2 linked regions of the Mus musculus genome follow. The protein of the gene in region 2 interacts with the protein of the main gene of each other region in a pairwise test. Links are inferred from orthologs where the notes say so. Each region holds a gene or a part of one and is shown on either strand. Other genes may lie near its edges.

Region 1 (3,500 bases), on a different chromosome or scaffold from region 2:
CACCTATTGTCAACCTCAGGCTTCTACACACGTGTGTCCATACTATACAAATGAAAAAATTTGTGCACACATACCACCATACTTGCTACAAACAACAACAGCAAAAAACCCACAAGGCCGGGTGTAGATGGGAAGTAGAGACAGGAGGATTATGGCAAGTTCAAATCCAGCCTACTCTATAAACCAAGTTCCAGTCCAGCCAATGCTGTCTAATGAAACCTTAAAGGAAAATTAAGTGGTTCGACTCATCTTTGTAATCCCAGACTTCAGAAGGGTGAGGCAGGAGGATTTGCTTGAGTTTGAGCCCAACCTCAAAGCCTCAAAGAAGATTTAAAAAAAAATTAGATAGATAGATAGACAGACAGATAGAGCGATAGATATAAATAGATAGATAAATAGGTAGATGGATGGATAACGGAAGAAGGGGCAGAGAGATCCCATTTTAGAAAATGTTGGGTCTCAGGGGGTGAGTCCCTGTGTCAGAGCTGTGGGAAGGTTGTGGGTATACTGAGATAGGGGGATGGGTCACAATTCACCTTCCTTAAGCCTGCCCAGATCTCCCTTCTTGCCTGTCTGGAGAAGTAAGATGGGCAGGAGGCTCAGCTTGGGGAAAGAGTGCAGTTGTCAGCGTGGTACAGTTACTTCTCAGTGGCTGGTTGGTTCTAGAGAGGGTGTGCATCCCCACCCCTATATGTGCTTCAGGCTACCTCAGGGGATGTAGATGGCTGGTAGGTGGGCATTCATTTAGGCTTCTATTACTGTTATTGTTATTAATTTTTTTGAGACAGGATCTTGATGTACAGCCCAGGCTGGCTTTTTAAAATGCTCCTTTCCGGGCATTATCAGATCTCCTACAGACCCTTCAGAGTCTTAAGTGCTCCCCTGACCTCCATCAGCCCTGAGTTGGAGCTCCTGCCTGCCCTTCAGGCCTCTCTTTAGGAAAACCTCCCGCAGTTTCCTCTTATGTGAAGCAAGTTCCATTCTCCTGCCCTGACCCAATCTTGAAGCATAGATTTCTACACATCATCTACATGTGGGGCGCAGTCCCCAGAATGGATCTCTCTGGGCTGTGGGTGTGCACAGACCAGACAAGCGGATGCCCGTTGTGGGTTACCATGGGTTACCGGGCTGTTTCTTCCCCCAGGGCTGCTATATTCTCAGCTGTTCCTCTTAATTTTCTTTGCAAAATGCCCTCAGTCTATGTGAAAATTTCCTCTAAGTCATGTGAGGCTTTCTCTGGGGAAGGGTGGGGTCCGCTTGTTCCCCTCCTAAGTCCCAGGGACTGTCCTGGGGCTGTCCCATTAGGGCTTCTGTAATTGGCCCAGGGACCCTGTTGACTCTGGAAGTGGTCTGGGGCAGATTAGCAGGAGCCATGTCCTGCCCCTACCCAGGTGGGAATTTGGAGGTGAGCTGGAGGAGAGAGGGGCCAGCAGTGACTGCTTTCAGGGGAGTGTGTGCTTCAGTGTGAGTGTGGACACCAGAGGATGCACTCCAGGGGTCCTCACTGAATACCTTGTTTGAGATAGGGTCTTGTTTGCCTCTGCATTCACCACACCAGTTGACCTGGTCTGTGAGCATCTGGGGGGATTCTGCTGTCTCCGCCATTTCCCCTCTGACCCTGGAGCACTGGGTTTCGGATGCGTGCTACTGGGTCTGGTTTTACATGGATTCTGGGGCCCTGAACTTAGGTCTTCACGCCTGCACAGCAAGCGCTTTTCCTACCAAGCCATCTCCCCAGCCCTGTGTCTCATGCAGTCACATGACATAGCCCACTCTTGAGGGACGAACATCAACAGCCCTAAAGTAGTAGAGAGTCACCTATGAGGAAACAAACAGCGGAAATTAATTTCAGTCTATTGGATTTAGTTTAGTGTATCTCATCATTGATCAAAAAAATGGCTAATGGGATAATCAACATTTTTCTACTGAGTCTTTAAAATGAGGTGTGTGTGTGTATTGTGCATGTGTGCATATTCACATGTGTGGCACATGTGTGAGCAGGTAGGTACTCATGAATATGTGTGTGTACGTGCTTGTGTGTGAGTGGGTATCAGGAATCGTCTACTTCAGGTTTTGAGGCAGGGTCTCTCAGTCAAGCCCAGGACTCTAAGAGTCAGCTAGTCTTTCTAACCAGCTTGCTTCAATAACCTCCTGTCCTTATTTCCTGAGCTGTGGCAGCTGCCACACCTCCCTGGCATTTATGTGAGTTTTGGGGATCTGAGCCTCCGGTCCTCCTGCTCGTGTAGCAAGCACAGCAACTTCTGAGCTCTCTCTGGGCTGTGAGAGATGTTTGCATTTTCTTGTTAATCACATTTAGATGCTCAGGGGTTACGTGCTGGCCTGAGATTGTTTAATCAGTACAGTGCTGGCTGTGCAAGCATCCCCAGAACCTGCGGAAGGAAGCCAGGCAGGAATCCCAGAGCCGGAGAGGTGGCTGGATCCTGGGGCTCTCTGGCAGCAGCCTAGCCTAACAGGGGACTTCCCGCCAGTGAGAAACCTTGTCACAGAAAACAAGGCTCCTGAGGAGTGGTCTCCAGCATTAACGTCAGATTTCCCCATGTGCACATGTCTACATGCAGACACATGCGTTGGCGGCTGCTGTTTGGGCTGCTGTTTGTATTGCCTCTTCCTTCCTGAAAGCAGGGCTTGTGCTCTCAGTAGGCCTGGGCCTGGGTGTATATGTGGACTGAGGGGGCTGTCTGGCAGTGGACGTGCTAGGCTGGCACTCGTGCTGTGGGGCATTTGCCTGGAGCCTTGCTTCTGATCAGCTTTGGAGTCTCGGGAAAAGCTGTTTTCAATTACTGTGCCTCATCTGTAGAGCGGAGCCCTACAACTGTGGTCTCTGGAGCACTTTGGGCTGTGGCGTGCAGGGAAGATGCCCAGGACTGCTGTGCCTATCTGGGCATCAGTCCTAAGCCAGGACTTTGGGGAAAGGCTTAATTAGCCATTGCCATCACAGATGCAAGATCCATGCATCTGATTATCTGTTGAGCTCCAGACTGGAGACTGTCTGCCCACCGACCTGGTATTCACTCAGCCACTGGCCACCTGCTATCCCGTCCCACATATGAGGGACCTGTCCCATGCAGCCTGTCCAAGAGGGAGGCAGAGATGGATAGGTCAGATCTCGGGCCACTCATCTCGGGGGGTGGGAGCAATGGACCTCAGGGAGTCCTGGCCTTTGCCTCAGGCCTTACTAGACCTTCTCTCTCAACAGGCTCAGCTGGAGGCGCAGAAGGCCACACAGGACTTCCAGAGGGCCACCGAGGTACTCCGTGCAGCCAAGGAAACAATCTCTCTGGCTGAGCAGCGGCTGTTGGAGGATGACAAGCGGCAGTTTGACTCTGCTTGGCAGGAAATGCTGAACCATGCTACTCAGAGGGTAGGCGGGACCTGTGTGCGCTGGTGGTGGGGACCCAAGCCACATGCTGGATGTCCTTTGGCTCCCCCACAAGAATAGAGACAGGTTTCTAGGCAGCATGAAACCCTCCTGTAAAGGT
Region 2 (4,192 bases):
TCTGTTTCCACATGGCACCAAGAACTATCCTTTAGAATCACATCCACCAGTGGCCGATGCTGACTCAAAGGTCATCATCAGCCAAGTCTGATGAGCTATGCAGGGGAGCCCTGTCTAGCTCCCCTAGCCTTGTCTCTCCTTACCTTTCCCTCTGCACACCTGACTCCAACTATACTGAGCATACCTTGGTGTACCTTTGTCTGGTGTGCCATTCTTCTTGATCTGGCCATGATCTGTACCTTTTAGACACCGAGACCTACACTAAGCAGAGTATTTATTTCTGACCAGTCTAAAATAGCCAGTTTCAAATTCATCTGTTTGTATTTTATTTTCCTTAAACTCTCTGGCTTTTGTGTGTGTGTGTTTTTGGTCTCCCTTCTATGAGGATGTAACACTTGTGTCATTTATTGTTCTCCCCAGGAATCTAGAGCACTGCTGATCATGTAGTAATTCCTCAATATGGTTGGGTTCTGCATGTGAGTAATAGCTGTATTGAATGGAGAAACTGTATTTAAAACTAAACATATTTCTCTTGATCCTCCAAGAATACATTGATAAAGTGAAGACTTTAGTGAGCCAGAGCTTATTTCATAGTTATTCCTTAAAAAAAAAAAAACCCACCATTATCCTCAAGGGCTTTAAAGGAGTGGGCATTACTATTGGTATTGGTCCTAGAATTTATAGTAACAATGGTATAAATAATTATAATACCTATTGAGTATTTACTATGCATGGATACTATCTTTGTTGCCATATGCTTCCATCTTAACCTTAGGCATCAATTCTAATATGTAAATGAGACATAGAGACAGAATGATTTGTTAGTTTTTCTTATATAGTAGCTTATGAAGGAAAAACTAAACGGTAATAGACAATAAAACTAAGGGAATTCACTTAAAAAGATCCATGTAGATGCTGATACAGCCCTGATAAAACATTAAACCTTCACCTTAAACTTTTTTGGTTCATTTTGCTCTGTTTTGGTTTTTTTCAAGACATGGTTTCTCTGTGTAGCCATAGCTGTCTTGTACTCCAGGCTGGCCTCAGACACATAGAGATCAGCCTGCCTCTGCCTCCTGAGTACTGGGATTAAAGGTGTGCACCATCACTGCCCAGACACTTTAAACTCCTTTAGGAAAGAACATTAATTTGGCACCCAGTGTTTCCTTCAGTCTTCTCCCTCCTCCGGGTTTGGGGAAAGCATTAAAGTAGCATGACCGAGGTCACACATGTGCTATGAAGCAGAGCCAAAGTTCAGAACTGGCCTTGGCTCTAGAAGGCACATCTGGACAAGCAGTGACTGTCCTAGTTTTTCCTTATTATCACCCCAGCAGGTGTATAGAGGATGTACACTTTGTATACACACCTGTGCTTTTCCTTTTTTACTCACAGAACTCTGAAAAGTAACTGATGTGGACAAGCAGCTGAGACAGTCAAGATGACGACCACGGTAGCCACAGACTATGACAACATTGAGATCCAGCAGCAGTACAGTGATGTGAACAACCGCTGGGATGTGGATGACTGGGACAATGAGAACAGCTCTGCAAGGCTCTTTGAGCGCTCCCGCATCAAGGCCCTGGCAGGTAAGTGTCCTGATGTTGTATGTCCCACCTGTCACCAGATGTTCTGTAGTCCCTTGAACATCAACCATTTCTCTTTTAAGCTGTCTTGCTTGAAGTTGACCTCTCCCTGCTTTAACATATCCTATGAGAGCTTGCTTACCCTTTTATAAGACATTTACTTTTGGAGAGCTGCCGAACTTAATGACCAACATAGTTTAGAACACAGTAAATAATGTTTACAGCAATTTAGAAAGAGCTGCTAAGAGTTTGTAAGGATTTTTTAATTCTAACACATCTTTAATTTCAAGTGTTTTAACATACTATATTTATATAAAATATCCAACTTGGCTGTATACGTAATGCCAGTGGCAGATTAGCTGATCTTTTCGGTGAGAGGTTGGTAAGTACCTTGTTACAAGGGCTTTAGATCTGAAAAGTAGCAGTGTCCTGTGGGAAGGCCATATTTAATGCTGTTAATGAGTAGGTTTGCCACTGATCATTCCCATTCAGTTTCATTTTCTAGAGAAAAACCATGCCAGGTAGATGTTAAGTAGTTATTCCAATTATATTCTAGTTTACGATACAAAGTCTATTATAATAGGTGCCTTGATTATTAAATTGTAAGTTTGTCAGTACTTTTGACATGATTCACATGAACTAGAAACCCACAAGAAAGTATTCAGGAAACAAGGGAGCTAAACATTTATTCTGTGTCTGCTGATTGGATTCTTTGAAAAGAATCCTGAATTCATGATTATTTTTAGTCAAGTCATTTCTGTTTGCCAAGAATAGAGATGCATGTACTCTGAATTAAAGAGATGTGTTTGCTAGTAGAAAACACAGTTGTTCAACATGGACAGAGCCCTCATTTCATCCTTGCCATACAAAAACAAGTAACAGCAGCAGCATGTGATAGAATTAAAGGAGAATAAAGGGATTATCGTAAAATATCAGACAGGGGCCAGGTGTGGTGGCCATGCTTTTAATCCTAGCACTCAGGAAACAGAGGCAGGCAGATGTTTGTGAGTTTGAGGCCAGCCTGGTTTACCTAGCAAGTTTTAGGCCAGCTAAGATTGATGTGGTAAGACACTGTCTCAAATAAGAGAAAGAGAGATGGATGGAGGGAGACAGGGAAAGTGGAGGTTGGTCTCATGCAAAGCAGGCTCAACAAAGCCATGTGCTAACTGCTATAGGACAGTATCTCAGTTATTCTTCATTTGTTGGAGCCCTCCACTTAGTAACTGCGCCTTCATAATTTGTCTTACACCAGACTTGGGTGCAATGTAGATTCAATGAAACCTCAGTGCAAAATTATATTTATAATTTAATTGACTTAATAACCCAGTTTCCTTTTAGTACAAATTTCTGTAAGATTGGGTGTGGTATTGAAATTCTGTTTGGCCCAGATATTTATATAGCAGGCCATGGCTAGCTGGAGACTTACAAATGATTGCCTTTAAAAGAGGCAGCTTAAGACTGGTGCAATATTGCCCACCAGCCCTCCCAACCCAAGTTTGATCCCTGGGACCCACATAGTGTCAAGAGAGAATTGAGTCACAACAGTTTTTCTTTGACCTCCACACCATGCCGTGTCATGTGTGCAAATCTTTCCTTCAAATTAAAAATAAATAAAGACAGACAGACAGGAAGGAAGGAAGCCAGCCAGCCAGGTAGTGATGTGCATTTCTTTAATCTCAGCACTCAGGTGACAGAGGCAGGTCTGAGTTTCAGACCAGCCAGGTCTACAGAGTGAGTTCTAGAATGGCCAGAGCTACACAGAAAAATCCTGACTGACAAAAAAAAAAAAAAAAGATCAATCAGAAAAAATATATTTGAAGAAAATGTAGCAGTGCTACCCAGCGGTCTGTCTGTCTAGAGGTGTGGTTGGTGTGTTCAGAGCAGATAATTTGTAGATTAGAGAAAGAAGGCTTTTATGTTAACTTTTTAAGGGAGATTAGCATATTCTGCATGAAGATAAACCATCTGTGAAAGGAAACAAGGTGCAAATTGGCCCCAGAACAAGAGAGACTTAGGTAAATAAACAAGTCTCTTTTTAGCCTCCTTCTGTGAGTGCCTTACCCCCTGTAGTGGTCTTCCAGATTGCAGGAAGCCTGACTGCTGTATGCTGAGCGTCATTGCTCATCCCTTCCCTTTTGCCTCTTGTCAAATTCTAGTTGGAAGCACTGGTGTGTTGGGATTGGAGGGAGGCTTTGGGCACTGAGCTGTGACTGGGCTATAGCTATGTTAGAACACAGAGCCCTTTGGAGATGTTCTCTGCAAAAGCTGGTGGCTCTCAGGGAGATGGCACTAAATGGCACTAGGCAGCAGAACAGTCAAGTAGATGCTTGTTTTCAACTCAGAGATAACATTTTACAAAATGGTAAGATTACAATAACCATTAACTGTTTTCCTTTAAGAGAAAAGAAGCAGAAGTGGATACCTCTCTTTAAAATCCTGGAAATTCTTGAAGAGAAATGAACCTTATACTGTTAGGCCTTTAAAATAAGCCTCTACTGAAGTGCCCAATACTAGAACTGCTCCAGGTCTGGTTTGGTTTGTTCTTTACAGTGCTGACATAAAAATCCGTGTGTTATTTAATAAGGCAACAAAAACACTTACCACATATC

What was found. The genes of interacting proteins can lie anywhere in the genome.
Region 1: the proteins of Sptbn1 (region 2) and Sh3bp5 interact in a two-hybrid assay, tested with the Homo sapiens proteins (2 studies listed by BioGRID and IntAct). The link is inferred for Mus musculus from reciprocal best matches to the Homo sapiens genes SPTBN1 and SH3BP5.

Annotation. Positions count from the first base shown.
Region 1 is NC_000080.6:31,387,601-31,391,100, reverse strand, and holds part of Sh3bp5 (SH3 domain-binding protein 5), read left to right. Parts: intron 1-3,217; coding exon 3,218-3,382; intron 3,383-3,500. UniProt on the Homo sapiens protein: Functions as a guanine nucleotide exchange factor (GEF) with specificity for RAB11A and RAB25. Inhibits the auto- and transphosphorylation activity of BTK. Plays a negative regulatory role in BTK-related cytoplasmic signaling in B-cells.
Region 2 is NC_000077.6:30,216,973-30,221,164, reverse strand, and holds the start of Sptbn1 (spectrin beta chain, non-erythrocytic 1), read left to right. Parts: upstream 1-1,392; 5' UTR 1,393-1,438; coding exon 1,439-1,586; intron 1,587-4,192. UniProt on the Homo sapiens protein: Fodrin, which seems to be involved in secretion, interacts with calmodulin in a calcium-dependent manner and is thus candidate for the calcium-dependent movement of the cytoskeleton at the membrane.